Linked DNA regions of Oryctolagus cuniculus. The protein of the gene in region 4 purifies or fractionates together with the protein of the main gene of each other region. This does not show direct contact. Links are inferred from orthologs where the notes say so. Each region holds a gene or a part of one and is shown on either strand. Other genes may lie near its edges.

What was found.
Region 1: the proteins of MED4 (region 4) and CDK19 purify together in Homo sapiens (affinity purification with mass spectrometry; 7 studies listed by BioGRID and IntAct, counting the BioPlex papers as one, with this or other methods). This does not show direct contact. The link is inferred for Oryctolagus cuniculus from reciprocal best matches to the Homo sapiens genes MED4 and CDK19.
Region 2: the proteins of MED4 (region 4) and CCDC138 purify together in Homo sapiens (affinity purification with mass spectrometry; 3 studies listed by BioGRID and IntAct, with this or other methods). This does not show direct contact. The link is inferred for Oryctolagus cuniculus from reciprocal best matches to the Homo sapiens genes MED4 and CCDC138.
Region 3: the proteins of MED4 (region 4) and MED12L purify together in Homo sapiens (affinity purification with mass spectrometry; 3 studies listed by BioGRID and IntAct, with this or other methods). This does not show direct contact. The link is inferred for Oryctolagus cuniculus from reciprocal best matches to the Homo sapiens genes MED4 and MED12L.
Region 5: the proteins of MED4 (region 4) and POLR2J purify together in Homo sapiens (affinity purification with mass spectrometry; 3 studies listed by BioGRID and IntAct, with this or other methods). This does not show direct contact. The link is inferred for Oryctolagus cuniculus from reciprocal best matches to the Homo sapiens genes MED4 and POLR2J.
Region 6: the proteins of MED4 (region 4) and SNAP29 purify together in Homo sapiens (affinity purification with mass spectrometry; 3 studies listed by BioGRID and IntAct, with this or other methods). This does not show direct contact. The link is inferred for Oryctolagus cuniculus from reciprocal best matches to the Homo sapiens genes MED4 and SNAP29.
Region 7: the proteins of MED4 (region 4) and MED9 purify together in Homo sapiens (affinity purification with mass spectrometry; 10 studies listed by BioGRID and IntAct, with this or other methods). This does not show direct contact. The link is inferred for Oryctolagus cuniculus from reciprocal best matches to the Homo sapiens genes MED4 and MED9.

The regions. Positions count from the first base shown.
Region 1 is NC_091436.1:60,781,398-60,785,657, forward strand, and holds the start of CDK19 (cyclin-dependent kinase 19), read left to right. Parts: upstream 1-1,460; 5' UTR 1,461-1,495; coding exon 1,496-1,731; intron 1,732-1,764; exon of another isoform or gene 1,765-4,260.
Region 2 is NC_091433.1:100,007,045-100,010,544, forward strand, and holds part of CCDC138 (coiled-coil domain-containing protein 138), read right to left. Parts: intron 3,376-3,500; coding exon 3,274-3,375; intron 1-3,273.
Region 3 is NC_091435.1:130,278,715-130,282,866, forward strand, and holds the start of MED12L (mediator of RNA polymerase II transcription subunit 12-like protein), read right to left. Parts: upstream 2,801-4,152; 5' UTR 2,550-2,800; intron 1,668-2,549; 5' UTR 1,543-1,667; coding exon 1,444-1,542; intron 1-1,443. UniProt on the Homo sapiens protein: May be a component of the Mediator complex, a coactivator involved in the regulated transcription of nearly all RNA polymerase II-dependent genes.
Region 4 is NC_091440.1:67,111,463-67,114,962, forward strand, and holds part of MED4 (mediator of RNA polymerase II transcription subunit 4), read right to left. Parts: intron 2,093-3,500; coding exon 1,961-2,092; coding exon of another isoform or gene 1,917-1,960; intron 355-1,916; coding exon of another isoform or gene 346-354; exon of another isoform or gene 302-345; coding exon 129-301; 3' UTR 1-128. UniProt on the Homo sapiens protein: Component of the Mediator complex, a coactivator involved in the regulated transcription of nearly all RNA polymerase II-dependent genes.
Region 5 is NC_091450.1:44,084,269-44,088,541, forward strand, and holds the start of POLR2J (DNA-directed RNA polymerase II subunit RPB11-a), read right to left. Parts: upstream 2,801-4,273; 5' UTR 2,698-2,800; coding exon 2,645-2,697; intron 1-2,644. UniProt on the Homo sapiens protein: Core component of RNA polymerase II (Pol II), a DNA-dependent RNA polymerase which synthesizes mRNA precursors and many functional non-coding RNAs using the four ribonucleoside triphosphates as substrates.
Region 6 is NC_091452.1:29,626,593-29,630,092, forward strand, and holds part of SNAP29 (synaptosomal-associated protein 29), read left to right. Parts: intron 1-274; coding exon 275-471; intron 472-3,500. UniProt on the Homo sapiens protein: SNAREs, soluble N-ethylmaleimide-sensitive factor-attachment protein receptors, are essential proteins for fusion of cellular membranes.
Region 7 is NC_091448.1:66,357,005-66,361,266, reverse strand, and holds the start of MED9 (mediator of RNA polymerase II transcription subunit 9), read right to left. Parts: upstream 2,801-4,262; 5' UTR 2,710-2,800; coding exon 2,483-2,709; intron 1-2,482.

The DNA.
Region 1 (4,260 bases), on a different chromosome or scaffold from region 4:
TGGGCACAGTCAGGAGGGTGGCGCCGCCTGAGCCCCAACACTTCAATGAAATAATGACTCAACCTTCAGCCGGATTAAAGGCACATATCCGTTCCTAGGAGTGCCCAACCGAAAAAAAAATTAAAAAAAAAAAGGCCTTAAAAAGGCAAGCCAAACGATTGCTTTTAAAACGCTGCATCTTCCGGGCACTTTAATTGTCCTTAGACAGATGGCCCAAGCTCGGCTGCGGGCGCCGCACATGCTCGGAGGGAACCGACTCGAGCGCCAAGAAGAGGCTGATTGGCTGCTGGGGCTCAGAAGTTACTCGTCCTCCTTATCGTAAGGCAAGAACTAGGAAACCGCTGACTCTACAGGTTTTGAAATACGGTTTCTGCATCGTAAAGAAAAACGATTAACCTATCAGGAAGAACCAAGCCTATGCAATTACCAATCCAGAGCGGGAAAGCAGCCAGAGCCCGGGGACACCACGCACCACGGCGGACGTCATTCTCTAGCCTCCGCCAATGAGCGACGGGACGGGGGCGGGCCGCTCGCCGCGGAAAACAAACAACAACCTGCGTTACAACTGTCCTGACCAGTCCTCCCTCTCGAGCCCTCGGAGCGCGCTGCTGCGCGAGGCGCCCTGCGTGTGACACAATTCCCACGCCCCTTCTGGCCCGGAGTACCTCATCCTAGCAGAGCAAGGGCCGCCGACACACCCACGCCCACAGTCTCTCACGAAGCACCCTCCAACTTTGCGCCTTCTACCTTCACAGGAACTGGTAGCCCAGCGCTACCTGAGGGGGAGGGGCGGCCCCAGTGCGCACGCGTGCGTGCTATGCGGGGGCGAGGCTGTGGAGGCCCGAGGTAGTCTGGGAGCTGTATTTCTCGCGCGGGCCGAACGTCCACGGCCCCTGGGGCCTGAGGAACTACATTTCCCAGGAGCCTTCGCAGCTTTGGGGCGGGCGGGCTGGCTCGTTAATGAGCTCGAGGAAGCCGCGGCGCGGCCCACCAGGTTCCAAAACAAGGAAATGAAGGGGGGAGGCGGGACCGGGGGTGCCTGCGGGAGCTGCCGCCGCCGCCGCCGCCGCGGAGGAGGAGTAGGAGGAGGAGGAGGAGGTGGAGGGGGTGGCTGCCGCGGCCGCCGAGGAGTCCCTTGCTGAAGGCGGACCGCGGAGCGGCGGGCGGCGCGCGCGCGCCCGAGAGGCGGCTGTTGGAGAAGTGGAGCGGCGGTCGCGGGGGGAGGAGGCAGAGGAGGAGGAGGAGGAGGAGGGACTGAGCGGCGGCGGCCCCCGCGTCCCGGTGCCTCTATGGGGGAAGCAGACAATGGATTATGATTTCAAGGCGAAGCTGGCGGCGGAGCGGGAGCGGGTGGAGGATTTGTTTGAGTACGAAGGGTGCAAAGTGGGACGCGGCACCTACGGGCACGTCTACAAGGCGAGGCGGAAAGATGGGTAAGAGCAGGGGCGGGGGAGTGAGCTCGCTCCGATCCTCGCCCTGCCCGCGACCCCGCGGGATGGGTGGGTCGGAGCTCGGGCGCGCCGTGCCCCAGGGGCGAGGCGGAGGTGGGCGCGGGGCCGCGTCCCGGGGCGGACTCTTGAGGGACGCCCGCTCTGACCGCTCCCCGCGCGGCCCCTTCGCGCCCCTCGAACTCCCGCGGCGCAGCCCCGTCGGGGGGCCGGTCCCGTTTGGTGGGCGCCCTCCGCGTGCCTGGAGCCGGCGGCGGGACTCCAGCTGGGACCTCGGCTGGAGGTGGAGTTGGTGGGGTCTGTCTCGTGGGGGAGACGCGGAGGGCTGGAAGAGCCCCCGTCGCGGAGTTGGCGCTCCGGCCCTGGGCTGCTGACGGTCGCTGAGGAACTTCCAATCGGCTGAGCGCCTCTCGGGGGCGGCGGTTTGAAACCTGGCGGGGGAAGCCAGGCGGGCGGACGGGCCGGCTGGGCGCCGCCACTCTCAGCCGCGACCTCTGCCTCGCGGGCCCGTCAGCCCGGTGGCCCCTCAGCGCTGTCGCTCCGGTCCCAGTCGACCCTTCCTCCCGCGCCCCTCCGGTTTCGGGGTCTCACTTTCTGAATCGCACACCTTCTCCTTGGAAGGTGGGACCACCGCTTCCTTGACAGGAACCGCGTTTTGCCGGCGGTAACTTCAGAGTTCTTTCAGTTCCGCGTAGCACTGCCCGGGGGTCTCGGGCATTCTTGCGCCCTGCACCCCGGGCGCTGGCCGTGGACTGCGCGCTGGGGCTCTCGGAGCATGCAGGTTACTCCGAGCGGAATACGGAGTGACGGGGCAGGGCCCGAACCTCTGTTGTCCTGGGAGTTGAGGGAGACCCGTGGGAACCCCTTGGGAAGCTGGATAGTGGGCAGCGGAGCTCGCACAGCGGGACAGGTGGAACCAGCTCCCTGCCTTCGAGCGGTGGCTTGCAGCGGGTCGTCACCTCTCGTCCCATCCCCCTCGCCCCGGAACTCCCCTCCCCCGGTGTCAGGGCGCCACGGAAAGTCTGCCTGTCCTGCCTAGACCCCACAGACGGTCCAAGTAACCGGAACAGAGTTTTCAGAATTGTAACGGAGTGTTCTGAGTGAAGTGTTGAGCAGCCACACGACGTAAGACTCAAAGTGCTGCACGCTCTTGTAATCTGATGTGGTTGGTTTATGAATTCTAGAGCCAAGTAGGTAGATTGTGTGTGCTAATTTCGTAAGAGGAACAACAAAGCACAGTTTTATAAAGTATTTTATCATAAAGCATCGTGAAATTGTTCAAAGGCTTATCCCAAGTTTACAGGATTGTTACTGCAGGTAGCTTTTTTCTTTAATAACTGAACAGGTTCTTTAGTACGCAGTTTCTCAGTTCTTTTAGTTAATTACCAGGTATCCTTGCATGCACATCATGGAATCTGAGGTACTGTAATTAAGTTGTATCTTGTTTTCGGAATGTCCACTCGACCTGTTTTACTTGTGCTTCTGTGGATATATTTGGGGAATGCACACGAAGTTTTCCGGATTGGACATTGATGTAAAATAAATATGAGGTGCGTTTTTTTCCATACTCCTCACGCAGACTTTGTAATATACCTCAGAATTTTAAAAATGTATTTTTTTTTTGGATAAAATAGCATTCTTTTAGCAGACTACTTTTGAGAAGTTAAACAAATGTGCTTCTGAATTGTATTTGAACAGGACAGGCTTGCAAGAAGAAGTAATTTAATTCCTGCTCTTTGTTCTTTTTGAATATTTGTCCTTTTAATAAAGTTCTTGATTGGAATACACTCCTTTCTTGAGTGAAATTTATTAATTAGAATTCATAAACTTTCATTACTAGAGTAAGGTCAGTTTGTGCATTTTCAGTATATTTGTTGTGTAGGATCTGAAAGCATTAAAGAACTATTTTACATATATGAAAAATCATAATGAACTTTTTTTTTCTTGGACTGAAATTTTAGTTTAGATTTGCAACTTTCTGATAAACACCTTCGGTAATGGGGTCAGTTAGGTTCATATCAGTGATTTGACAGAATACAAAGTTTTTGCTGATAGTCCCTAAACTCTGATGCAGATTTACATTGTAAAGGATTTTTATATTATGATCATAGTAAATACATTAGCTCTGTTTATAAAAAATTTTAAAGATATTTTAGGGAGCAAGAGATAGATTACATGGGTGCATTAAAGAGAAATTATTCTGGGGATGGGTGTTTGGCGTAGTGGTTAAGATATGACTTGTGGGGCCGGCGCTGTGGCTCACTTGGGCACCAGCATCCGATATGGGCGCTGGGTTCTAGTCCCAGCTGCTCCTCTTCCAGTCCACCTCTCTGCTGTGGCCCGGGAAGGCAGTGGAGGATGGCCCAGGTGCTCGGGCCCCTGCACCCGCATGGGAGACCGGGAGGAAGCACCTGGCTCCTGGCTTCAGATGGGCGCAGCTCGCCAGCTGTAGCATCCATTTGTGGGGTGAACCAGTAGAAGGAAGACCTTTCTCTCTGTCTCTCTCACTGTCCAATTCTGCCTGTCAAATAAAAAAAAATAAAAATAATAATAATAAAAAGATATGATTTGGGACATCCATGCCCTCTATCAGAGTGCCTGGTTTGAAGGTCTGGTTCCACTCTCCATTCCAGCTTGCTGCTGGTGTGCACCCTTACAGGCAGCAGGTGATAGCTTGAGAAGACGGACCCCTCTCATGTCTGGGACCTTGATTGAGTTCAAAACTCCTGCTTTTGGTCAGCCCCAGCCCCAGCTGCTGCAGGCATTTGGGGAGTGGACCAGTAGGTTGGAGATCTGTCTCTTTGCCTTTCAA
Region 2 (3,500 bases), on a different chromosome or scaffold from region 4:
CCCAAGTGCTTGGGCCCCAGCACCCATGTGGGAGACCCAGAGGAGACTCCTGGCTCCTGATTGGCCCAGCTCCAGCCATTGCGGTCATTTGGGGCAGATGGAAGACCCTCCCCAACCCCCCGCCTCTGACTTTCAAATTAAAAAAAGGAAATTGAAAGAACTGTGTCTTATTATCAAAATAATTCTTGGGGGGCAGCAGCACTATGGCACAGTGGGTTAAGCTGATACCTACAACGCCAGCATCCCATATGAGCACCAGTTCAAGTCCCAGCTGCTCCACTTTTGATCCAGCTCCCCACTAATGCACCTGGGAAAGCAGTGCTTGGGCCCCTGCTACCCACATGGGAGACCCAGATGGAGTTCCAGGCTTCTGGTTTAGACCAGGCCTAGCCCTGGCTGTTGTGCCTTTTTCAGTAGACCAGCAGACTGAAGACTGATCTCTCTCCATCCTCACTCCATCTCTGAGTGTAACTCCTCCCCTCTAAAATAAAAAAATATCAAAGAGTAAAGAATTTTCATAAAAGTTCTTTATCCCAAGCTTGATAAAACAGAAAAGTAAAATTGGTTTTAACTCAACAGCATTAACCTCCATAATGAAAAAAGTCTAACAAGTTCTGGCTACTCCACATCTGATCCAGCTCCCTGCCGGTGGCCTGGGAAAGCAGTGGAAGGCAGCCCAAGCACTTATGTCCCTGCACCCATGTGGGAAACCTGGAAGAAGCTCCTGGGCCCACCTCCAACCATTGTAGCCATCTGGGGAGTGAACCAGCAGATGAACACCTCTCTCTCTGTTTGTCCCTCTGTAACTCTGCCTCTCAAATAAATAAATCTTTACAAAAAAAAAAACCCAACAACAACAAACCCACAAAGCTGGAGACATCATAATACTAGATTTTAAGACATACACATGGAGCTACCAGCATAGACCTATAGACCAATGGAACAGAACAGAAACTCCAGAAATTGACCCACACTTTACAACCAACTACTCTGACAAACAAGCTAAAGTCATTTCCTGGAGGAAGGGTAGTCTTTTCAACAAATGGTATTGGGAAAACTGAATTTCCACATGTAGAAGTCTAAAACAGATTCCCTACATTAATCCTATACAAAAATCAACTCAAAATGGATCAAGGATCTAAACTTCAGACCTAAAACTGTCAAAAACATGAAACACCAGACACTGGCCTAAGCAAAGATTTCTTGGGTAGGATCCCAGAAGCAGTATAAGCAAAAACAGACAAATGGTATTACATCAAGCTAATTAGCTTCTACACAGCAAAGGAAACAATTAACAAAGTGAAGAGACAACCAACAGAATAGGAGAAAATACTTGCAAACTATTCATCTGATAAAGGATTAATATCTGGGATATATAAGGAGCTTAAACTCAAAAACAAAACAAACAATCCAATTGAGAAATGGGCAAAGGATACAAATAGACACTTTTTTGGTAACTTTTTAAAAAAATTTATTTATTTGAGAAGCAGAGTTGGGGGAGGGGAGACAGAGAGAGAGAGATCTTCCAACCACAGGCTTACTCCCCAAACAGCTGCAACTGCTGAAGCTAGCTGATCGGAAGCAAAGAGCCAGAAACTTATTCTGGGTTTCCCATGTGGGTGCAGGGGCCCAAGCACTTGGACCATTTTCCGCTGTTTTCCCAGGTGCATTAGTAGGGAGTTGGATTGGAAGTAGAGCAGCCAGGACTCAAACCAGTGCCCATAGGGAATACTGGGGCCACGGGCAGAGGCTTTACTCACTACACTACACCATGGCAATGACTCCAAATAGACATTTTCAAAAAAATACAAATGGTCAATAGACATGAAAAAACTCTCAGGATCACTAGCCATCAGAAAAATACAAACAAAAACCACAAAGAGGTATCACCTCACTTCAATTATTATGTCCTATACAAAACTCAGAAAATAACAAATGCTGGCAAGGTTGCAGAAAATAGGGTAACCTAATACACTGTTGGTGGGAATGCAAACTAGTGTAACCATTGTGAAAAACAGTATGGAGAATCCTCAGAAAACTAAAAATATGTCTACCATAGAACCTGGTTTGGAATCCTGGGAATATAAGCACAGCAAATGAAATCAACATATGAAAGAGGTACTTGCACTCCCATGTTTACAATGCCTCAATTGACAACAGCAAAAATATAGAACCAACCTAAATATCCATCCACTGATTATCAGGTAAGTGTATATATGCAAGATAGAATACTAGTCAGCCTTTAAAAAGAATGAAATTCTGACATGTGCAACAAAATAGAACTGGAAATCAGTATGCTAAGTGAAACAAGCCAGACCCAGAAAGACAAATACCACGTTTTCTCTTATTTGTGGAAGTTAGTATGTAGAGTATAAATCTGTGTGGATTTCACATCATTTGGAACAGTCACAATACTGCCTCACTGAAGCATACCACTTATGTGACAATACACCCTTCTTTCCACATTATGCTCACCGGCACGAATCCTCACTTTGTGATATATTCGTTTTCAAGAAAAAAACACTGCACATGTGCATGGAGATTTACTGTCTACACATGAAATCAATGTGGCAACATGTGGAAAACTTACATTTTAAAGTAAAAGTAAAGCAAACACTCTTTCTTGCAGCTACCTCAGTAAATTGCAACACCTCAAAACAAATTAAACATCGAAAAAATTTGCAGAGAAATATTTTAATAAATAAAAAGAAAACATTAAATGGCAATCCATAACAACGGTATAAAATGGCTGAGAACACAATGATAAACAGTTACCACATCCTTCTAAAGAGTAATTTCTAACCCCTCTCAACTTCATTCAAATAGAAATAAACTGCTTTTAGATGAGAACTTCAATCATCTTGAATACTTCAATATAAAATCTTCTTTTCCAATTTAATTTATACAAAGAACTAGAAAATTACCTGAAAGGATTAAAGCCTGCTATGACACTAAGACTACTAGACACCTACTGGAAGGATCAAAATGAAAAACAATGAAAATACCAAATGCTGGCAAGGCTGGGGAAAACCAGAACTTTCATACATCATTAACAGAAGTATGAAGTGGTATGACCACTTTGGAAAGTTGTCAGTTTCTTACAAATACACATCTCCCTATGGCTCAGAAATTTCAGTCCTGGTACTCACCATGAGGAATAAAAACAATGTCCACAAAAATCTTGTACCTGAATACTCACAGCCCATGATTCAAAGCAAGAAAAACAGAAACAGCACAGGTACCCATCAACAGAATAAACTGGGATAAACTCACGCAGTGGAGTACTGCTGAGCAAAGAAACAGCCTACTGATAGCGTGATATAATGCTGAGGAAAAGAACTCCACATGACCAGCACATAGTAAGCGATTCCATTCCTAAAAGAGGAAAAATAATTCATGGCGACAGAAATTAGATCGACAAGTGGTTCTGGCAGAGAAACACGACCAGGAAAAGGCACAGAAGAACTTTTTAGGGTAACAGATATGCTCTATAATTGGTT
Region 3 (4,152 bases), on a different chromosome or scaffold from region 4:
GCCAGTAATTTTGCCTTACGAACTTTCTTTACTTGGGGTTCTTAGTGTCTCTATGACCATTCCCAGACCTTCTCCATTCTGAGTAGGGGTCTCCATTCTGAGTAGGGGTAGCAGAGTGAGCAAAAGGGTACAGAAGAATCTGCCAAATCTCATTCTTCTCTCACCCTGTGAAGCCGCTCCTGGGAGCCACGTGTAAACCTCCGCTTCAATCTGAATTATTCCACTGGTGCTGAAATTTAGCGTGCCAAACCTGGGAGAGGAACCAGTGCTCCTGGTTTCTCAGATGCATTAGGAGCGAAGCACTGTAGCCAGAACAAGCATTCTTCCTCTATCAACGAGACAGATACATTTATCACAACGGAAGTCTTAAGGCCCCTGGCCTTATTACAAAGCTCTTTCTGCACTATCAGTGGGCCTATAAACTTTAATAGAGGAATTTTTCTTTTTAATTCCCAAATAAGTTGTGAGATGTGGTAAGTTGGTGTTTAAACAGAACGGATGGGCTGCAGCTGGCAACTCCAGAAGCACAGCTGGGAAGCAGGTGATTTAAAAAAAAAAAAAGCCAAGTCCCTGGGCAAATTGTGAAGCCTAGGGTGGTCATTATTATAACTGGAGAGTTGTTACATAATTACTTGTTAACTCCTGGCAAACACATACATAGCTACAAAATGCCATGGTTACCCTAGCCTTTGAAGCTGGTGTACCTGGTACAAGAGTCAAGGTTTCTCCAATTAATTTCATTCAAAGAAATAAGCAATCCTGGGACCTATTCCCTTCCAAGGTAACTCGCCAGCTTTTCCGTATACAAAACAGCCTCCCGCAATTAAGCCTATCGCCTCTAGGGATGAAAATCAGTGTTTCTCTTTAATACTGATTTTTAAAGAGGAGAAGATATCCAGAGGTACATTCAGAGGGCTAAATATTCATCACCTCTAAAAAAAACCAACAAACAAAAAAACCGACTTCCATTCCCAACTGGAAAACTGGAAGATCCCCCCCACCTCCGTCCCTGCTCGGCTGGCGCAAAACGCCAAGACCTCGGTGTCGGAGGCACTGCATTCCAACATTTTTCAAAAAGTTTACGGGGATTTACTGAAGCGGCGGAGAAAAAAAAAATAAAGCACTTAGAAGCGGAGGAGAACGAGCAGAGGGGTTTCGGCAAGGAAGCCGCCAGCGAAGCGCCTGGCGGCGCCGTGCAAGGCCCGATAACCGGGAAGCGACCCGGCACCCGAAGAGCGAGCGCCCCCGTGGAGCGCCGGGACTGACAACCGCTCGGTCTCCGTCGCCCGGGGTCCCCGAGCCCCCTCAGCCCGGCCCCCGCCTCCAATCCCGCTCCCCGACCCTTCCCCCGCAGCGCCGGCGATGCCCGCCGGGCCAACTTGGCCCCGGGTCAGCGCTGCGGAGCGCGGCCCCGGTAGCCGCGGAGGCCGCCGGCGCCCTTACCTCTTTCTGCTTGGGGTCCTGCGGGTAGACGTCGGGCGGCCCGAGCCGGGGGCGCTTCAGCGGTCTCTGCTCATAGCTGAGAAGCCCGAAGGCGGCCATGATCTCTCATGTTAACCGGCGAAATGAATGAGAGTTGGAGCAGCCGCCTCTGAGCACCAGGGAGCAGCACTTTGCAGACAGACTCCCTCTCTCCCCCTCCGCTCGCTCGCTCGCTCGCTGTGGCGCTGCAGGCAGGAATAAAGCAGGCTGGATGCTGCCGTGCCGGGCACGCAGACACGAGCTGATGGGGGCAGCCTTCCGCGGGCACCGGCTGCGCTCGGGCCCCGGGACGCACCGCTCCGGTGCCGGCGGCCGAGGGGCTGGAGGTCTGCCAGGGTCCTCCGCGGCGCCTGCCTCCCGCCCACCCCTCTCCACCCTGTCCCCAGGGGGAGGAGCAGCTGATGGGAACGTGTGACTTTTTTCACCAATGGACCCAAACCCACCTCAGCTGGGCGCAGGATGGGCGTGGGGGAAGGGCACGAAGGGGGGAAGAAAGAAAAAAAAAAAACTTTCTTGGCGCCTAGGAGCGGTGGCTCAAGTGCTCGTCCCAGGCGAGGGTGGCCCTGATCCCCGGGGAAGAGGCTGCAAAGCGGCCCGCCCCCGCCCCTCTTCCTCGTCGGGGACCCTCCCCCGGCCGCCAAGCGCCCTGTAAGACCCCGCCACCTGGGCTCCGACCCGGCCGGTGCGGAGGGCAGGAGGCCAGAACAGGCTCGGGGAGACGGGGATTCGGACGGTGGAAGCGGCCGGTGCCTCCTAGACGCCCGCCAGGCTCCGGTGGCGCATCCGCGGCTGGGGTCCCCCTCAGCGGCTCCGGGCAGACGCCGAGGCGCGCTGCTGGCGGTCGCAGCGGCCGCGGCAGCTGGAGGGGGCCGTGCTCACCGTGGCGCGGGGCCGACTTAACCCTTTGCTGCCCCCTCCAGGGGCTGGGATGGGGGCTCCGGCGGGGTGGGGATGGCTGAGAGCGCCGACGGGGGCGGCCAGCCGCAGGCGTGCCGGGCTCCTCCAGCCAGCCGCCCTCCCCGGCCTCGGCGCCTCCTCCCTCCCCACCCCCACCCCTAACAGTTTACCTGTTGGTCCCTGGCTAGCGGGCAGGGGCCGGCGGCGGCGGGGGCACTCCTGCGGCCGCAGCCTCCATCCTTCGGGTTGGGAAGGGGGGATTGGATTGGATCTTATTTGTGATCCACCTCGCCCGGACGAGCTCCGGGGACGCCGCGAAGTTTGCGGCTGTCTGGGGGCGGCGAGCGACGCCGGCTCGCCGCCGGCGTTCTCGCCCCCACGGCCCGGGAGCGCGAGCTTCCGAGTTGGCGGACAGCGGCGCGGCGGCCGCACTGAGCATGCCCAGCTCGGTGGCCGGACCGCGGAGGAGTTGGCTGCGAGCGCGCTCCGATCCGCCTCTCCGGGTTTTCGCAGCCGCAGAGCGCTCAGCCCGCGGGCCCCGGCGCTGGGGCTGGCCCTGGGGTGAACCTGCACCAGAGCGAGGGCGCCCTTAGGAGCCCCCTGTTGGCCTAGGGCTGAGCTCTCCCTCTCGACCTCCCCTGCGGTCGCTGTCCCCGTGGCCTGGGCCGGAAACCTCACCTGCGCGGGACGCGTGGATGGGAGGGGGTGGTCCTCCGGCGGAGACCGTCACCTAACCCGCCCGCGCTCCCCGCGCGCTTCGGGGCGTGGGCACCGAGATGCTGGGCCACCTGCCGGGAGACCGAGGCCGCGGAGGCGTGCCCAGCCTGCCCCCGAGGGACGCCGCGGGAGGCGCGCCCGGGAGGATGCACCCGCACTTGGCCAAGAATGATGGCTGCCATTTACGGAGCCTCCGCTTCGTGCTAGGATCTCGACAGTCAGAATCTCGGATGCTTACGACAACCGTGCATGGCTTTCCTGCACCCTTTCTACAGATGGAGAAATTGAGTCCTTTGCGGGGGGGGATGAGGGGGTTCAGGGTCCTGCTCGAAGCCAGGAAGCGAGTTGGGATTTGAACCTGCAACTGCCCGATCCCAAGTTTCCGTCCTCTATCCCATACTTGGAGCTGGAAGGACTGGATGCTCGCCCATCCTAGCCTGATTGTTCCCCAGGGCTGGAGGAATTCCTTCGACGTGATGCAGGCACCATCTCACCTGAAGCTTGTGTACAATGCCTGATACACAGTGGATGCCCAGGAAATGTTGGTCGAATCAGAGGGTCTACTTACCTCTGCCGACTTTAAAAAAAAAAAAAAAAGAAAGAAAGAAAGAAAGAAAAGAAAGAGGATGTAGACAAAGCGACAGCAGGGTGGCCGAGCTGGTTCCTCACTCCAGACCTTGACCTATGAGCATCTCCAAACCCAGCCTGAGACGGAGTCGGGCCTGTAGAGTGAGTTCTTCCCAACCACTTTCCCCACCTCTGTCGCCGGGACTTCGCCTTCATGAATACCCTAGCGTGTAACTCATACCTGGATTTGCCCTTGTCATATGGGCAACTGTCAAATCTAGTTCTCCTGCTTCACAGGCAGGGCAGACTTTTTTTCATCTAACTTTATCATGAAGATGATCAAACATAACAAAACCCGTAGAAATGGTATAAGGAGCCCCTAAATACTACCATATGAATAATCTCCTGGCTGTAACAATTATCAGAAGTTCACCCTTCTCTCTCATTATCTTCTCCATCCCCAGTACACTGACACACTAGCAAGAACAG
Region 4 (3,500 bases):
CAATTTCACCATAACAACATTTACCTGGTTCTTCCTTACAAATCTGCAATTTACATTTCTCTGCTATTGTTTAAGAAACAGAATTCTACAGGATTCAATTCTGTATGCTGTCTTCCATTTTTCTTTTTTCAGTCAGAGTCACTACTACTGCTTGAAGAGTCCGTTGACATGACCTCTACATCATCCTCATTTTCTTTATTATGCCCAGGAGGTTCCAACAGAAAGTCATTACTGTGATTTGGTGGCAACATATTCATTGACATATCATTTGACTGCCACGGGTATTGTGGAGCAAGAACATCTGGAGAAAGAACAAAGCAGATATAAAAATAGTCCTATTCGTAATCAATCAGCCTGTCAGCTACTTTTCCCTTTATGCAAACAATCTGAAGTACTTTTTTTAGGCTAGAAATAAAAAATCCACATATGGTCAAATTAGTGATTAAATTTATGACTAGCAAGGAAAAATGTGATGTTTTAGTAGGGACATTTTCTTTTAAAATTATAGTCTTCTACAAGAATCAATAGTGAGCTGACAATTTTTGTTTTACAAGATGTTTACAATTACAAATGAAATGTTTTCTCTATGTATATTATATATGCCCATATAATTATATATATTATATATAATTATATATTACCACACATATTATTCAATATATTATAAATAGATAATATCTGTACTACATGAAATATCATAGATGTGAACAATTTGTTAGAGCGAAACGGCTATTTTAAATCATTCTGACCAAAGAGAAGTTGATTGGCAATATATGTATAAGAAACATCTTATGAAGTGCCCATGTCACATTAAGAGCATATATTGTTTTTGAAGAAAAAGAACAGAGCACATGAACAGGTATAACTTAAGGCTAAAAGAAGTAAAATTTGAGAAGAGCCAGAAGAGAGTATTACAGTATTAACTACACAGGTATGCCAATTAGCTTCCAATCTACTCTTCCTCCTGCACTCTGAAACCATTTCTTTGCCAGCAGATGGCACTACTGACACCCTGAGAGGAACAGCCTTCCTGGGTGGGTTGTTTTGCCTTTATTCCCACTGTGCCTGGCTGGTGTACAGGACCAAGTACAAGACCATCCCTATGGGTGGTTTCTCAGTAGGTTTCTCCAAAATCCCAAATGGTGGCTTCCCAGGATGTCTCCCCGGAACCCCAGTGGGTAATTTCCTGCATGCCAGCTCTGGCCTCTGACTACCAGGAGTAGGCCAGGGCTACACTTCAGCCTCTCCAGGGAGAGAGCTCTGTGATGATAATGGGATGGGGGTGGAGAGAACATTCCTCCAGTCTGCCCCTTCTTAGGATACCCTGTTTTGTTTCTAGATGGAGTAGCTGCTTCCCATATCTATTATTCCTGAATGTAAGCTTTCCTTGTTTAAATGACTGGTGTGGTTTCTGTCTCCTGACTAGCACCCAAGTATTAGCCAGTACAATCACAGAAAGACGAAGCGATATCCCAGAAAACAAGTATAGGCAGCGAGGTCGCCAATTTGTGCTCTAGGCAGCTAACAAAACTGATGCATACAAATCATATTCAGTAACATAATAGACCTTCTCAGAAAGGATGATTTTTTCTCTTTATGTCTTTTTGCTTTCCAAAAGTTTCAATACATCAAAACAAGTCAACAAAATATGTATTTATTCTCTTTACATAGCATGTTTCACTACTGCAAAAAGGCTGTTTACAACAATAAAAATAGAGGAAATACCCATGCCTGAGGAGGATGGCAGAACACTAACAGAGAGAAAGGCAGCTCATTCTAATTTCATAACCACCATCTACAGGTTTCTAGCAAAGAGCAGGAGACACTGGCAGAGTACCTTGCTATTAAACTGACACAGGTCTGGAATGTCACAAATTTTTATTTAACAGTTAGCCATCCCATCATTGTTACCTCACAAAAACCTGGATCTGCTGGAAAACATTCTTCCAGTTAACAGTACCTGGCAGTCTGCCCGCTGCAAGTGCATCCCCTGGTAAGTGACCATTCACACCATTAGCAGAAGGATTGTTCATCTGACCTAATAATCCGCTTCTCATCTCCAAATCAGTTGGGTATGGTCTCCGTGGGTCCCCTAAAACAGTAAAGCTGCTTTTAAAACACACACACACACACACTCTCACAAAAGCATTAACATCTTTGAAATGTTAATTTTCCTCAGTACACACTGAAAAATTTCAGCTACATTTTCAAATCTGGAATATGCAGATAATCAACTGTTATCGGCTGCATCATACATTATTTTTAAAAACGTGTCTATGGGGGTTGTCGTTTAGCTTACTGATTAGGATGCCAGTTAAGAGACCACATCCTTTATCACAACACCTGGGTTTGATACACCAGTTCCAGCTCCCGACTCTAATTTCCTATTAATAAAAACCCTGGGAGGAAGCAGCATTGGCTCAAGTAATTGGACTCCTGCCACACATGTGGGAACCCTGGATTGAATTCCTAGTTTCCATCTTTGGCCAGGCCCAGTCTGGCAGTTGTGGGCATTTGGGGAGTGAGCCAGAAGATGGGAGTGCTCTCTTGTTTTATGTGTATATGTCTCTGCCTCTCAAATGAAAAAATCTGTGAAAAGAATATGTATTTTTTTCTTTTCTGAATCTCCTGTATATGTAAAATAAAGAGACAAATTTGTCATTTTAACAAACATTCCAATTTCCAATTTAAGAAAATCATAACCTCAATTCTTCTAAATTAACTGCATTTTCTAATAAGAAAAATAATGAGGGGCAGGCACTTTGGCACAGTGGGTTAAGCCACGTTTAGAACACTGGCATCCCGTTATCAGAGCACTGGTTCAAGTTCCAGCTTTTCTGCTTCTGATCCAGCTCCCTGCTAATGCACCCGGAAGGCAATAGATGATGGCTCAAATACTTGAGTCCCTGTAACCCACAAGGGAGATTCTTGGCTGGCCAAGCCTTGGCTGTTTGCGGGCATTTAGGGAATGATCCAGCAGATGGAAGAGTCTCTCTGTGTCACTGTCTTTCAAATAAATATTAAAAAAAAAAAAAAAAAAAAACAATTATATATGTGTGTATAAATATATATAAATACATAAATACACACACTGAGGGAGAACAGATGACATGAGACAGAAATAACTAGAATATCTGTAGGACTATCTAAATTAAACCCTTTTCTAACCAACCTGTTATGATCCTGCTATTTAAAGACTAATTCCTATAACTTATTAGTGGGCTATTGGGGCAGGTAATGTTTATTCACAGCAGAAAAGCATGCTAAACAGCCATACTGGGATCAAATTTCTGGTAATGTTTCTCACCAACTTCAGATTTATTCACCCCCAAAGCTGCAGTTACCCTAGTACTCTTAGCATGGTAAAATACCACCTTCAGGAGTTACTCTGGTTGAGGTAATTATCTTCCATTCCTCCAAAAAGGCTGCTGCTATACTTTAGGTCTCCTGTCTGATATGTTATCCACTGTTGATGTGAAAACATGTAACAGACGTTTCTC
Region 5 (4,273 bases), on a different chromosome or scaffold from region 4:
GAAGCTCCTGGCTCCTGGCTTCAGATCGGCGCAGCTCTGGCCATTGCAACCATCTGGGGCATAAACCATAGGATGGAAGACCCCTCTCCCTCCCTCCCTCTCTGTGTGACCCTGACTTTCAAATAAACGTTTTTAAAAATGTGCAAGTATTATGTGTCAATTAAAAATGTTAAGGGGCCAGCACCTGTAGTGTCAGCATCCCATATGGTTCGAGTCCCGGCTGCTCCACTTCCAATCCAGCTCTCTGCTATGGCCTGGGAAAGCAGTAGAAGGTGGCCCAAGTGCTTGGGCCCCTGCACCCACATGGGAGACCCGGAGGAAGCTCCTGGCTTCGGACTGGTGCGATTCTGGCCATTACAGCCAACTGGGGAGTGAACCAGCAGATGGAAGATCTCTCTCTGCCTCTCCTCTCTCAAGTAAATAAATAAATCTTTAAAAAAATAAAAATTTTAAAGCAGCGGAAGAGTCCATGGGAGCTGGTGCTGTGGTGCAGTGGGTTCAAGTCCCGGCTGCTCCACTTCCATCCAGCTCTCAGCTGGGGCATGGGAAAGCAGTGGAAGATGGCCCAAGTGCTAGCGCTCCTGCACCCGTGAGGCTCCTGGCTTCAGATCAGCCCAGCCCGGGCCATTGGGGCCATTTGGGGAGTGACCCAGCAGATGGAAGACCTCTCTCCCTCCCTCCCTCCCTCTCGGTCTTTCAAATTAAAAAGTCCATGGGAAAGGAAATACAAAAGGCGCTGTGTAGGCCGGCGCCGCGGCTCACTAGGCTAATCCTCCGCCTAGCAGCGCCGGCACACCGGGTTCTAGTCCCGGTTGGGGCGCCGGATTCTGTCCCGGTTGCCCCTCTTCCAGGCCAGCTCTCTGCTGTGGCCAGGGAGTGCAGTGGAGGATGGCCCAAGTGCTTGGGCCCTGCACCCCATGTGAGACCAGGAAAAGCACCTGGCTCCTGCCATCGGATCAGCGCGGTGCGCCGGCCGCAGCGCGCCGGCCGCGGCAGCCATTGGAGGGTGAACCAACGGCAAAGGAAGACCTTTCTCTCTGTCTCTCTCACTGTCCACTCTGCCTGTCAAAAAAAAAAAAAAAAAAGGCGCTGTGTAAACTAAAAACACGTTCATACCAGAAGCCACAGCGTGAGCACCTGTGATGGTAATGGGTGCTTCATAAACACGTTGCTGTGGCACAGGTAAAGCCACCTGCAGTGCCCGCATCCCACATGGGCGCCAGTTCGAGTCCCAGCTGCTCCACTTCCAATCCAACTCCCTGCTAATGCGCCTGGGAAAGCAGCGGAGGACGGCCCCAATGCTTGGGCTCCTGCACCCCCATGGGAGACCTGGAAGGAGCTCCTGGCTCCTGGCTTCAGATCGGCTCAGCTCCAGCTGTTGCGGCCACCTAGATAAGACCTAACTCTGCCTCTCAGATAAACTTAAAGAAAAAAAAAAAGGAGAAAGAAAGAGAGGCACAGAGAGGGACGCACACAGGTCTTCTCTCCGCTGGTTCACTCCACAGATGCCCGCCACAGCTGGGGCTAGGGAGACGCTGAAGCTAGGAGCCCACGAGAGAGCCAGGTCTCCCTGGGCCATCACCTGCGGCTTCCTGGGAGGTGGAGCAGCCAGGGCGGGAGCAGGCACTCCCCCCGCGCCACAGGCCCGCCCTGGGGGCTGCACGGCGCCCGGGGCGCCCGGGACCACCACGCCTGCTCCCCTGGTTGCTAGTCTGTGCCCAGGGAGGCTCGAGCGGCCGACAAGGGTCGCACCCCAGCCCCCGCACCCTAGGCTGCTCAGACTCGGAAGGCATTGCCCCCGCGAGAACCCACTTAACCTCTCCCTGTGCTTAACCACAGCGCGCGTGCAAGCAGCCCATTTTTCCAGGTGCGCACAGTGCGCCTCGGCCAGACCCAGCCCACACCACCGCCTCTTAGGATGACCAGGCGTTCCCGGAGCCAAGCCAGGGGCAGCTGATGGGACAAACAGGGCACACTCAGCGGCTACCACCTCTCATCACGAAGCCGCAGGCCCCAACCGCGCACCTGCGCCCTCGGCGCAGCCCCCGAACACCCTCCTCCTCGTTCAAGCTCCACCCGCGGCTGACCACGGAACGCACGCAATCCACGCCACAGCTTCCTAGACGCGCGCGAAACCCTCCCCAAGCGACTTCCCCACGAGCGAGACCCGCAACGCCTGCGCCCCTCGGTTTGGCCAAGCCACAAACACTCCTTCCCACGCGCAACCCCAAAGCCACGGTCCGCGCGCTCCCACGGGCGCCCGGCCAAGCCACGCGTCCGAGGACCACAGGGCGGGCAGGCGGGCGACCCGGGAGCCCGGCCCAGATGTGTGGCCGCCAGACCGCGGGCCCCGACAGGGCGGACCCGAGCTCCGGAGCCCTCGCGCAGGCCGCCGCGTGGAGGGAGGACGCGGGTGGCCGGCCGGACGCCACAGGGACGCCTGCCGGGGCCCCGCGGAACCACAGCACTCTGCAGCAGGACACTTTGCAAGTCCCCGCAAGTGCCGGCGTGCCCAGGGCACTGCCCCCCTGGGCGGACCCAGGCCGCTCGGACACTCGAACACTTCCGACCCCCGAGCCCGCAGGACACGCAGGAGCTGCGGGCCTCGGCCCGACCCTCCGCCGCCCCGCCGGGCTCCACTTACTTCTTCTCTCCCTCGAAGAGCAGAAACGACTCGAAGGCCGGAGGTGCGTTCATCCTGGCACCGCGGCCCGCCGGCGACTAAACGGCCGCCGCCACCGCCTCCAAACCCGACCGCGCGACTGCTTCCGGGTCACGCCGGCGGCGCCTACCGCGCCAGGACCGGCTCACTGCCCCCTAGCGGCGGGGAGGAGCTAGCGCAGGCGTGAGAAAAATTTTCCCCGATGCGCTCTGCGCGTGCGTCAGCCCGGAGGCCACGCCCCCGCCGCGCTCCACGCCTGGGCCAGGGGGCGCGGCTCTGGGGGTGCAGGCAGTCGGAGCGTTGCGCTGCCCGCTGGGTCCCGGCGAAGCGGGAAGCCGGAGCTACGCCTGTCTCCGCTGTCCATGCTTCTTGATCTCTTCTTTGGAAATGTGCCTTGGAATGCACCGCAGCAGGCCCCGGCACAGATACAGAGCCATGGGGTAGTAGGAGGCCGTGGCTGGGGGTCGAGGAAAGTCTTGTGGTCAGAGTGATAGGCGTGGACGGCCCCTCCAAGGCACCTGGCCAACAGCCACGAGGCCCTGGTCACCGGCGTCTTGTTGGCGGGGGCAGCTGGGTGAGCGCTGGGAGGAGCAAGTGCGACAGGTGTGACAGGGGGGTGGAGGGATACAGGTGCACCACCCCGCCTTGAGCTCCTGATTGGTGCCGAAGGCCCTCCCGGAGCTGTTCGGCCAACAGGGACTGGGGGCTCAGAGCAACCACAGGGACCCTGGTTGCAGCCTGGAGCCCCCACGGGAATCGCATCTCCCTGCGCGGGGGCGGAGGGGGGGACTTAGTACCTGGGAACTGCCGCTCTGCCCGGGGCCCGTGGGTAATGAGCCACGCCCTCTCGGCTCATCCTGAAGACTTTAGGACGCTGCCCTACGGAGACCTGGAGGTGACGCCTGGCCAGGGTCCAGAGCAGGGGATTCCCCCCCACCATCCTGGCCACCACCATGGACGGCTGCTCTCCTGGGGGAGTGCTGACCCCACTCGCCGGAGCGGCACACCCCCAGACTCTTCTGCAGGTCCATGTGGGGTGCCCCACGAGGGGATGGTGTGACCACAGCCTGGAATAGCTGGGCGAGGGGCACAACTACACAGTGGCCTGGGCCCCGGCATCCCGTATGGTCGCCGGCTCGTGTCCCGGCTGCTCCACTTCCAATCCAGCTCCCTGCTAATGCACCTGGGAAAGCAGTAGTAGATGGCCCAAGTGCTGGGGCCCCTGCACCCATGTGGGAGACCCGGATGAGGCTCCTGGGTCCTGGCTTCGTCCTGTTGCGGCCATCTGGGGCGTGAACCAGCAAATGCGCTCCGTCTCTCCTTCTAACTCCAACTTTCAAATAAATAAATCTTTATTTAAAAAAGAGAGATGCACATGGGCTAACAGGTGAGGAATGGATGGATGGATGGATGCACTGTGTTCTCCGTGCTGCTCTGGGAGGGAGGCTGAAGGCTGTGAGCACAGGGGGCGGGGTGGGGCAGGGAAAGGGGGTGTTGGGGTGAGGGAGCCGGCTGGCTGAGCCCCGCCGGGAGGCGCAAAGCCCCCACCCACCCTGCACTCGGGCTGACTGTACAGCAGGCAGTGGCCCTCTGCTGGTCATCGCGGGGTGG
Region 6 (3,500 bases), on a different chromosome or scaffold from region 4:
GAGACCCAGAAGAAGCTCCTGGCCTCAGATCAGCTCAGCTCCAGCCGTTGCAGCCATTTGGAGAGTGACCCAGCCAGATGGAAGTGCTCACTCTCTCTCTAACTATGCCTTTCAAATTAATAATATAAATCTTTTAAGCAAAAAATGATGACGTGCCCTTCACAGGTGACAGCGTCTGCCCCGACATGTGCTTCGCATTTATGGAGTACCCACATGTGGTTCTCATGGGCCAGGGAGAACTACCAGAAGGATAACTGCCACGTGTCTTTCCTAGGAGCTCGTCCGTCAGCGAGGAGTCTTAGAACGCACGGAGAAGATGGTGGACAAGATGGACCAAGATTTGAAGACCAGCCAGAAGCACATCAACAGCATTAAGAGCATGTTCGGGGGCCTTGTCAATTACTTCAAATCCAAACCCGCAGAGGCGGCCCCTGAACAGAATGGCACCGGCACCCCCCAGCCCAACAGCAGGTGAGTGTAGCAGAAGTGGGCTTTGGCGTGAACGGAAGACTTCCAGGCCTTGGCCGAGCCATGAGGGGATTCAGGAAGCCTGTAAGTTATACTTCAGGAGGGTTTTGTGTTAACCCATCTTCCCACGCCTGATTATATGTATTTGATTGGCACCTAGTCTGCAGATTGTGCATAAGTTGGGTTTCCAGTAAATTCCTGCTATACTGATTGTCACCCCAGTACTGAGAGTGTTCACCTCAGAAAGTTAGATCAGGCTGTAAGGGACTCCCTACACAATATCTGTACTTTATTTTTTTAAAAGATTTATTTTATTTATTTAACAGACAGAATTACAGAGAGAGGTAGAGACAGATAGAGAGGTCTTCCATTCGCTGGTTCACTCCCCAGATGGCCACAATGGTCAGAGGTGTGCCAATCCAAAGCCAGGAGCCAGGAGCTTCTTCTGGGTCTCCCACGTGGATTCAGGGACCCAAGCACTTGGGCCATCTTGTACTGCTATCCCAGGCTGTAGCAGAGAGCTGGATCAGAAAAGGAGCAGCCAAGACTAGAACTGGCGCACATGTGGGATGCCGGTGCTTCAGGCCAGGGCTTTAACCCGCTATACTGCAGAGCTGGCCCCAGCAGTATCTGTACTTTAAAAAGTCATTTTTCCCACCCAGGTGTTCTACATATAATTCAATTTGCCCATTGCTTTTCACTTTTTTATTTATTTTCATTTACTTAAAAGATACAGGGGCAGACACTGTGGCACAGCAGGATAAAGCCCCAGACTGCAGCACTGGCATCCCATATGGGCACTGGTTCAAATCCTGACTGCTCCACTTCCAATCCAACTCCCTGCTAATGTGCCTGGGAAAGCAGTAGAAGACGGCCCAAGTCCTTGGGCCCCTGTAGCCACGTGGGAGACCCGAAAGAAGCTCCTGGCTTCGGATTTGCTCAGCTCCAGGCATTGAAGCCATTTGGGAAGTGAACCAGCAGATGAAAATTTCTCTCTGTCTCTCCATAACTCTCTTTCAAATGAATAAAAACAAATATTTTAAAAAATAATACAAAAGGCATAGAGGGATTTTTCCATCCACTGGGTTACTCCCCAAATGCCCACAACAGCCAGGGCTAGACCATGCTGGAGCCATGAGTCAGGAATTCCATACAAATCACCCACAGAGGTGGCAGAGCAATAAGGCCTTGAGCCGTTGTCTGCTGCCACCTGGGAGCCTCAGCAGGAAGCTGGACCTGAAGCAGAGGAGCTGGTCCTCAAACCAGCACTCTGCTGTATCGGGCTGTAGTCTTCCCTGAAGCTGAGTGGGTCTGGGAAGAAAGGAATGTTGGTAAAGAGCCAGTAATGGTAGCAGAGAGAAGAGGTGGGGGAGGCTCCGGGCGTCTGGATCGGACACTGCAGGGAGGAAAGCAGGCCTCTGCAATGCCCTGGGGCTACTCCCGTAGATGCACCAGGGTTGATTTGTCTGGCTTAGGCCCAACCACCACTTCGCGCAGATTTTCCAGCTTGACCCTGATTTTAATTAATTACTTCTGAGATTTATTAATTCATTTATTTGAAAGGCAGAGTTACAAAGAGAGAAAGAGGGAGAGACAGAAGCAGAGATTTTGCATCTGCTGGTTCCCTCCCGAGATGACCATAACAGCCAGGCCTGGGGCAGATTCAAGTCACGAGCCAGGAACTTCATCTGAGTCTCCCACGTGAGTGCAGGGGCCCAATTACCTAGGCCATCTTTGCTGTTTTCCCAGGTGCTTTAGTAGGGAGCTGGATCAGAAGTGGAGGAGCCGGGACTCAAACCAGCACTCATAAGCGATGTCAGCATCACAGGTGACAGCCCTACCTGCTATGCTGCAATGCCGGCCCCGACCCTAACTTTAAATCCCTGTCACTCTTTCTCATAACAGAATTGGGTTTTCCTTTGGCTGCTTTTTTTTTTTTTTTTTTTTTTTTTTTGACAGGCAGAGTAGACAGTGAGAGAGAGAGACAGAGAGAAAGGTCTTCCTTTTTTGCCGTTGGTTCACCCTCCAATGGCCGCCACGGCTGGCGTGCTGCAGCCGGCGCACCGCACTGATCCGATGGCAGGAGCCAGGTACTTATCCTGGTCTCCCATGGGGTGCAGGGCCCAAGTACTTGGGCCATCCTCCACTGCACTCCCTGGCCACAGCAGAGAGCTGGCCTGGAAGAGGGGCAACCGGGACAGAATCCGGCGCCCCGACCGGGACTAGAACCCAGTGTGCCGGCGCCGCTAGGCGGAGGATTAGCCTAGTGAGCCGCGGCGCCGGCCTTCTTTGGCTGCTTTTAATTATAGATGAGTATCCCTCATCAGAAATGCTTGGGACAGAAGTGTTACAGATTTTAGTTTTTTTTGGATTTTGGAATATTTGCATAGACTTTACCAATTGAGCATTCCTAATTCCAAAATGCTCCAAGATCTAAAACTCAGCAGCGCTCAAGAAGTTTCAGATTGGGGGCAGGGCAGGAGTTGTGGCACCGCAGGTTAAGCCACACTTGGGACACCTACATCCGATGATGGAGCACCAGTTCAAGTCCTGGCTGCTCTGCTTCTGATCCAGCTCCCTGCTAATGCTCCTGGGAGGCAGCAGAGATGCAGCGAGTCAAGTACTGGAGTCTGTGCCACCCACCTGGGAGACCCACATAGAGCCTGGCTCCTGACTTCAGCCTGGCTCAGCCCTGATTGTTGGTCGTTTGAGGACTGACCCAACAGATAGAAAATCTCTTCCTCTCCCTCTGCCACTCTACCTTTGCAAATAAATAAATCAATCTTTTTCTAAAAAGGTTTAGGGTTTTGGAGCATTTAGGATTTTAGGTGTTCAGGCTAGGATGCTCAACCTGTGCCACAGGAAAGGTAGGATGTTCATTTAGTTTATTTTTTTTTTAAGATTGATTTATTTATTTGAAAGTCAGAGTTACACAGAGAGGAGAGGCAGAGAGAGAGAGATCTTCCATCCCCTGGTTCACTCCCCAAGATGGCTGCAATGGCTGGAACTGTGTGATACGGAGCCAGAAGCCA
Region 7 (4,262 bases), on a different chromosome or scaffold from region 4:
CTCTGTCTCTTCTTCTCACTGTAACTCCTTTTTTAAAAAAATTTTTTAAGATTTATTCATTAATTAAAGTCAAACTTAGAGAGGAGAGACAGAGCGAGAGATCTTGCACCCGCTGGTTCAGTCCCCAAACAGCCATAACAGCTAGGGCTGGGGCAGGTGAAAGCCAGGAGCTTCTTCTGGGTCTCCCACACGGGTAGCAGAGTCCAAACACTTGAGCCATCTTCTGCTGCCTTTCCCAGGCCATTAGCAGGGAGCTGGATTCGAAGTGGAGCAGCCAGGACTCGACCCGGTGCCTATATGGGAAGGCAGCACCGCAGGTAACATCGGACCCTGTAACTCTTTCCAAATAAATACATCTTTAAAAGAAAAAAAAAGTCCACGTTGTCAGCAGCGACTCCATCTCAGCACAGCATCGGCAAGCCCATCAACCTTCAACCTGAACGCCCCCGCAATGGTGGTGGTGTCAAGTTTAGCTTGCTTTGGTTTTAAATGGTTGAGCTCGAGTGGCAAGCCTGGGGGTTTACATCTAGCACTGAGTCGTGAGTCAGCCAACAACAGACTACACACACGACGAATGGTGGCATGAGATTAAAACGGGGCTGAAAACAACCTTGTTCGTGGTGACTCCGACGGAAAGAAACCGACTGCACTGCCAGTTCTCATACAGGGAACTTCAGAAAGTTACTGCGGGGCCGGCGCTATGGCGTAGTGGGTAAAGCCACCGCCTGCAGTACCGACATTTCATATGGGTGCTGGTTCTAGTCCCGGCTGCTCCACTTCCGATCCAGCTCTCTGCCATGGCCTGGGAAAGCAGTAGAAGATGGCCCAGGTCCTTGGCCCCCTGCCTGCTTGGGAGACCCAGAAGAAGCTCCTGGCTTCTGGCTTCAGATCGGCACAGCTCCGGCTGTTGCAGCCATTTGGGGAGTGAACCATTGGGTGGAAGCTCTCTCTCTCTCTCTCTCTGCCTCTCTGTAATTCTGCCTTTCAAATGAATTAAAAAAAAAAAAGTTACTGGAAAAATGGAACTAAAATTTTGGTTCAGGGGCCAGCATTGTGGCACAAGCCGTTGATGCTGGCATCCCACATGAGGACCTACTCAAGTCCCCGCTGCTCCATTTCCAATTCAGTTCCCTGATAATGCGCCTGGGAAAGCAGCCGGGATGGCCCAAGTGCTTGGGGCCCCTGTCGCCCACGTGGGAGACCCGGATGGGGTTCCAGGCTCCTGGCTTCAGCCTGGCCCAGGCCGGCCGTTGTGGCCATTTGGGCAGTGAACCAACAGATGGAAGATCTCTCTCTCTCTCTGCCTCCCTATCACTTTGCCTTTCAAATAAGTAAAACCAATCCCTGAAAAATAAAATGAAACCCATACACATCTTTCCATAATACGCACTTTTCCGTGAACTTTCAAAACAATCCTCGTATTGGCTGTCCTATACCTCTCACTGCTGTTTCAGAACGTACTCCTCCTACTTCCACGAAAGGCCAAACACCACGCATGTCCCGTTGGGACGTGTCTGCCTGCAGCAAGCGGCCGATGCCTCGGCTGCACCTCCTCACTCTCCCAGGCACCACTCCGTGACGTCAGCGCCAGCGGCGTACTCACTCAGGCAAGCGTGGAACGGGGGGGACTTTGGTTTCTTGTCTGTTTTTGTTTTTTCCTTTCCAGAGCCTGTCTGTCCGAAAGCTTGGGCTCCCCTGAGGGCTGGCCAACAGCACGGCCATATCCTTTCAAGGTAGGCTGGGATCAAGTTAGTCCAGGCCCGGTGGAGGCGATTTCTGTGTCTCTGCAGGCCATCTCAGCCCTGCAGGCTCAATCTGTATGAATTATGGGTAACATAATTATGGGTAACAGAGAGAGATCTTCTATCTACTGGTTCACTCCCTAAATAGCCCGAACAAAGCCAGGAGCCAGGAGCTTCTTCCAGGTCTCCCGCGTGGGTGCAGGGGCCCAAGGACTTGGGCCATCATCCACTGCTTTCCCAGGCCACAGCAGAGAGCTGGACCAGAAGTGGAGCAGCCGGGACTCGAACTGGAGACATTCGGGATGCTGGCGCTACAGGCGACGGCTTTACCTGCTACGCCACAAGGCCGGCCCGCAGTCGGCCCCTTTTACCGTGCGCACCCCGTAACGCCTAGCAGAACGCTATGCAGTCCCGACGATGTTTCTCTGCGGGATGTGCTGAAGACGAGGAGAAAACCAGAGCGCGTCTTAACCCTACGGAGCCTCAGGGACGCTGCCCAGGCTCCCGAGGCCCCCGGCCACCTGTGCCGGCCAGCTCGGAGCAAGTGTCCCCCGCATAGAGCACGGCGCCCCCCGGCGCCCCCATGCGCCCGGACAGGCGCCGCGAGCTCTCGGGAGAGGCCCCTGCCCACCCCCTGGCCTCGGCCTGCCCGCCCGAGAAATGGGGACGCACCCTTGCAGCCTCCTAGCGCCAGCGCCAGCGGCGGCGGCGGGGCCCCCTCTTCCGGGGCCCTTCCTTACCATTTGATGATGTTGTGAACCAACGGCAGGAAGGAGTAGTTCTCCTCCTCCTTCATGCTGGCGGGGCTCTGGGGCCGGGGCGCCGGCGACTGCTGCGGCTGGGGCGCGGCCACCGGTGGCGGCAGCTGCGGCGGCGGCAACGGCTTGGTCTCGGTCAGCGGCGGGTCGGCCGGTGGCGGTAACGCATCCTCGGCCTGTCGCCCAGCGGCCACCCCGGCCGAGGCCATGGCCCCGGGGCTCGGTCCAGCGAGCCAACTCCCCCACTTCACCGGCTCGGCTCGCCGGGAGCGTCGCGGACTCTACACGTCACTGCTGAGCGCCTCGCAGGGGCGGGGCCGGACGCACGGATCTGAGCATGCGCACTGAGCAGGGGGCGGGGTAAAAGCGCAGGCGTGAGGGGAGGAGGCTGTTGCTAGGCGACATGCGGTGGGCGGGCTGGTGTAGGCTGGATTTGGTTGCGAGTCTAGTTAAGTAAATTAGTCAGAAACAGGCGATTTAGCTCAAGTGACCTCAACGGCCAGGGCTGGGCCAGGGCCAACCCAGGAGCCAGGAGCTTCGTTCAGGGTTTTCACGCGGGTGCAGGGGCCCAAGTACTTGGGCCATCTGCTGCTGCTTTTCCCAGGCCTTTAGCAGAGAGCTGGGTGGGAAGTGGAGCAGCCGAGTCTCAGACTGGCGCCCATATGGGATGCCGGCGCTGCAGGCCGCGACTTAACCCACAGCACCATGGCTTCGACCCGCTATTTTATTTTTTTAAAACAACTGTTCAACATTTTTAAATTTATTTTTATTTGAAAGGCAAAGTGATAGACACGCGGAAATCTTTTCTCGGATACTTCTCTCTCCCAATGCCTCCAACAACTGTGGCTGGGCCAGGCTGAAGCCAGGAGCTAGGTACTCCATCCAGGACTCCCACGTGGGTGGCAGGGGCCCAAGCACCTGGGCCATCATCTGCTGCCTCCCAGGCTCATTAGCAGGGAGCTGGGCAGAGCAGCCGGGACCTGAAACAATTCTCTAGTGTGGGGGGCAGGTGTCCCGCAGAGAGCTGGATGGGACGCAGAGCAGCCGGGACCTGAAACAACTCTCTAGTGTGGGTGGCAGGTGTCCCAAGCTCTGGCCTAACCCACAGCGCTAGGACGCCAACTCCAAAGCATCCCCATTTTAAAGACAAAGTAACTGAGACTTAACAATGGGTGTGGGTCTAGGGTCACCCAGTTTGCCTAACGCCAAACCTATGGTCTCAGCCAGGTTCCTCAGGCTTCTGCTAGTTTTGTAACTTTATGATTCAAAATGTTAACGTGGCTTTCTATTCAGAATTTGAGAAGCAATCTAATAGTCATCAATAATATCCCCATGGCAACGTGCGTCATTTTTTTTCCCCTCCCAGCGTGTTTGATCACAAGCCCCGAATTTGTCATTGGCATCATAATGAGAACGTCCTTTAAAAAGAAAAAAAAAATCAGGTATAAATAGATATGGCTAAAAAACAAACAAAAAAACCCACAAATTGAAAATGTTAGATGCATGAGCAAATACTGGGTATTGACAATTTGCCCTATAAATAGTTCATATAATTAGTGACAAAGAGTAAAGTTTTGTAATGCTGCAAGCATATGTCAGAAAAATCCTGCCTGGGCTGCTTTCAGGAAGCCCAACATTGCCACAAAAATACGCATCTGTTTAATACTCATCCTGGTAAACGTCAGCAAAGGCAGCTGCTTCATGAATATGTAAGGCGGCTGTTTTGTCAGAGACGTGGCCAGCCTCAGCTGCACTGATGACG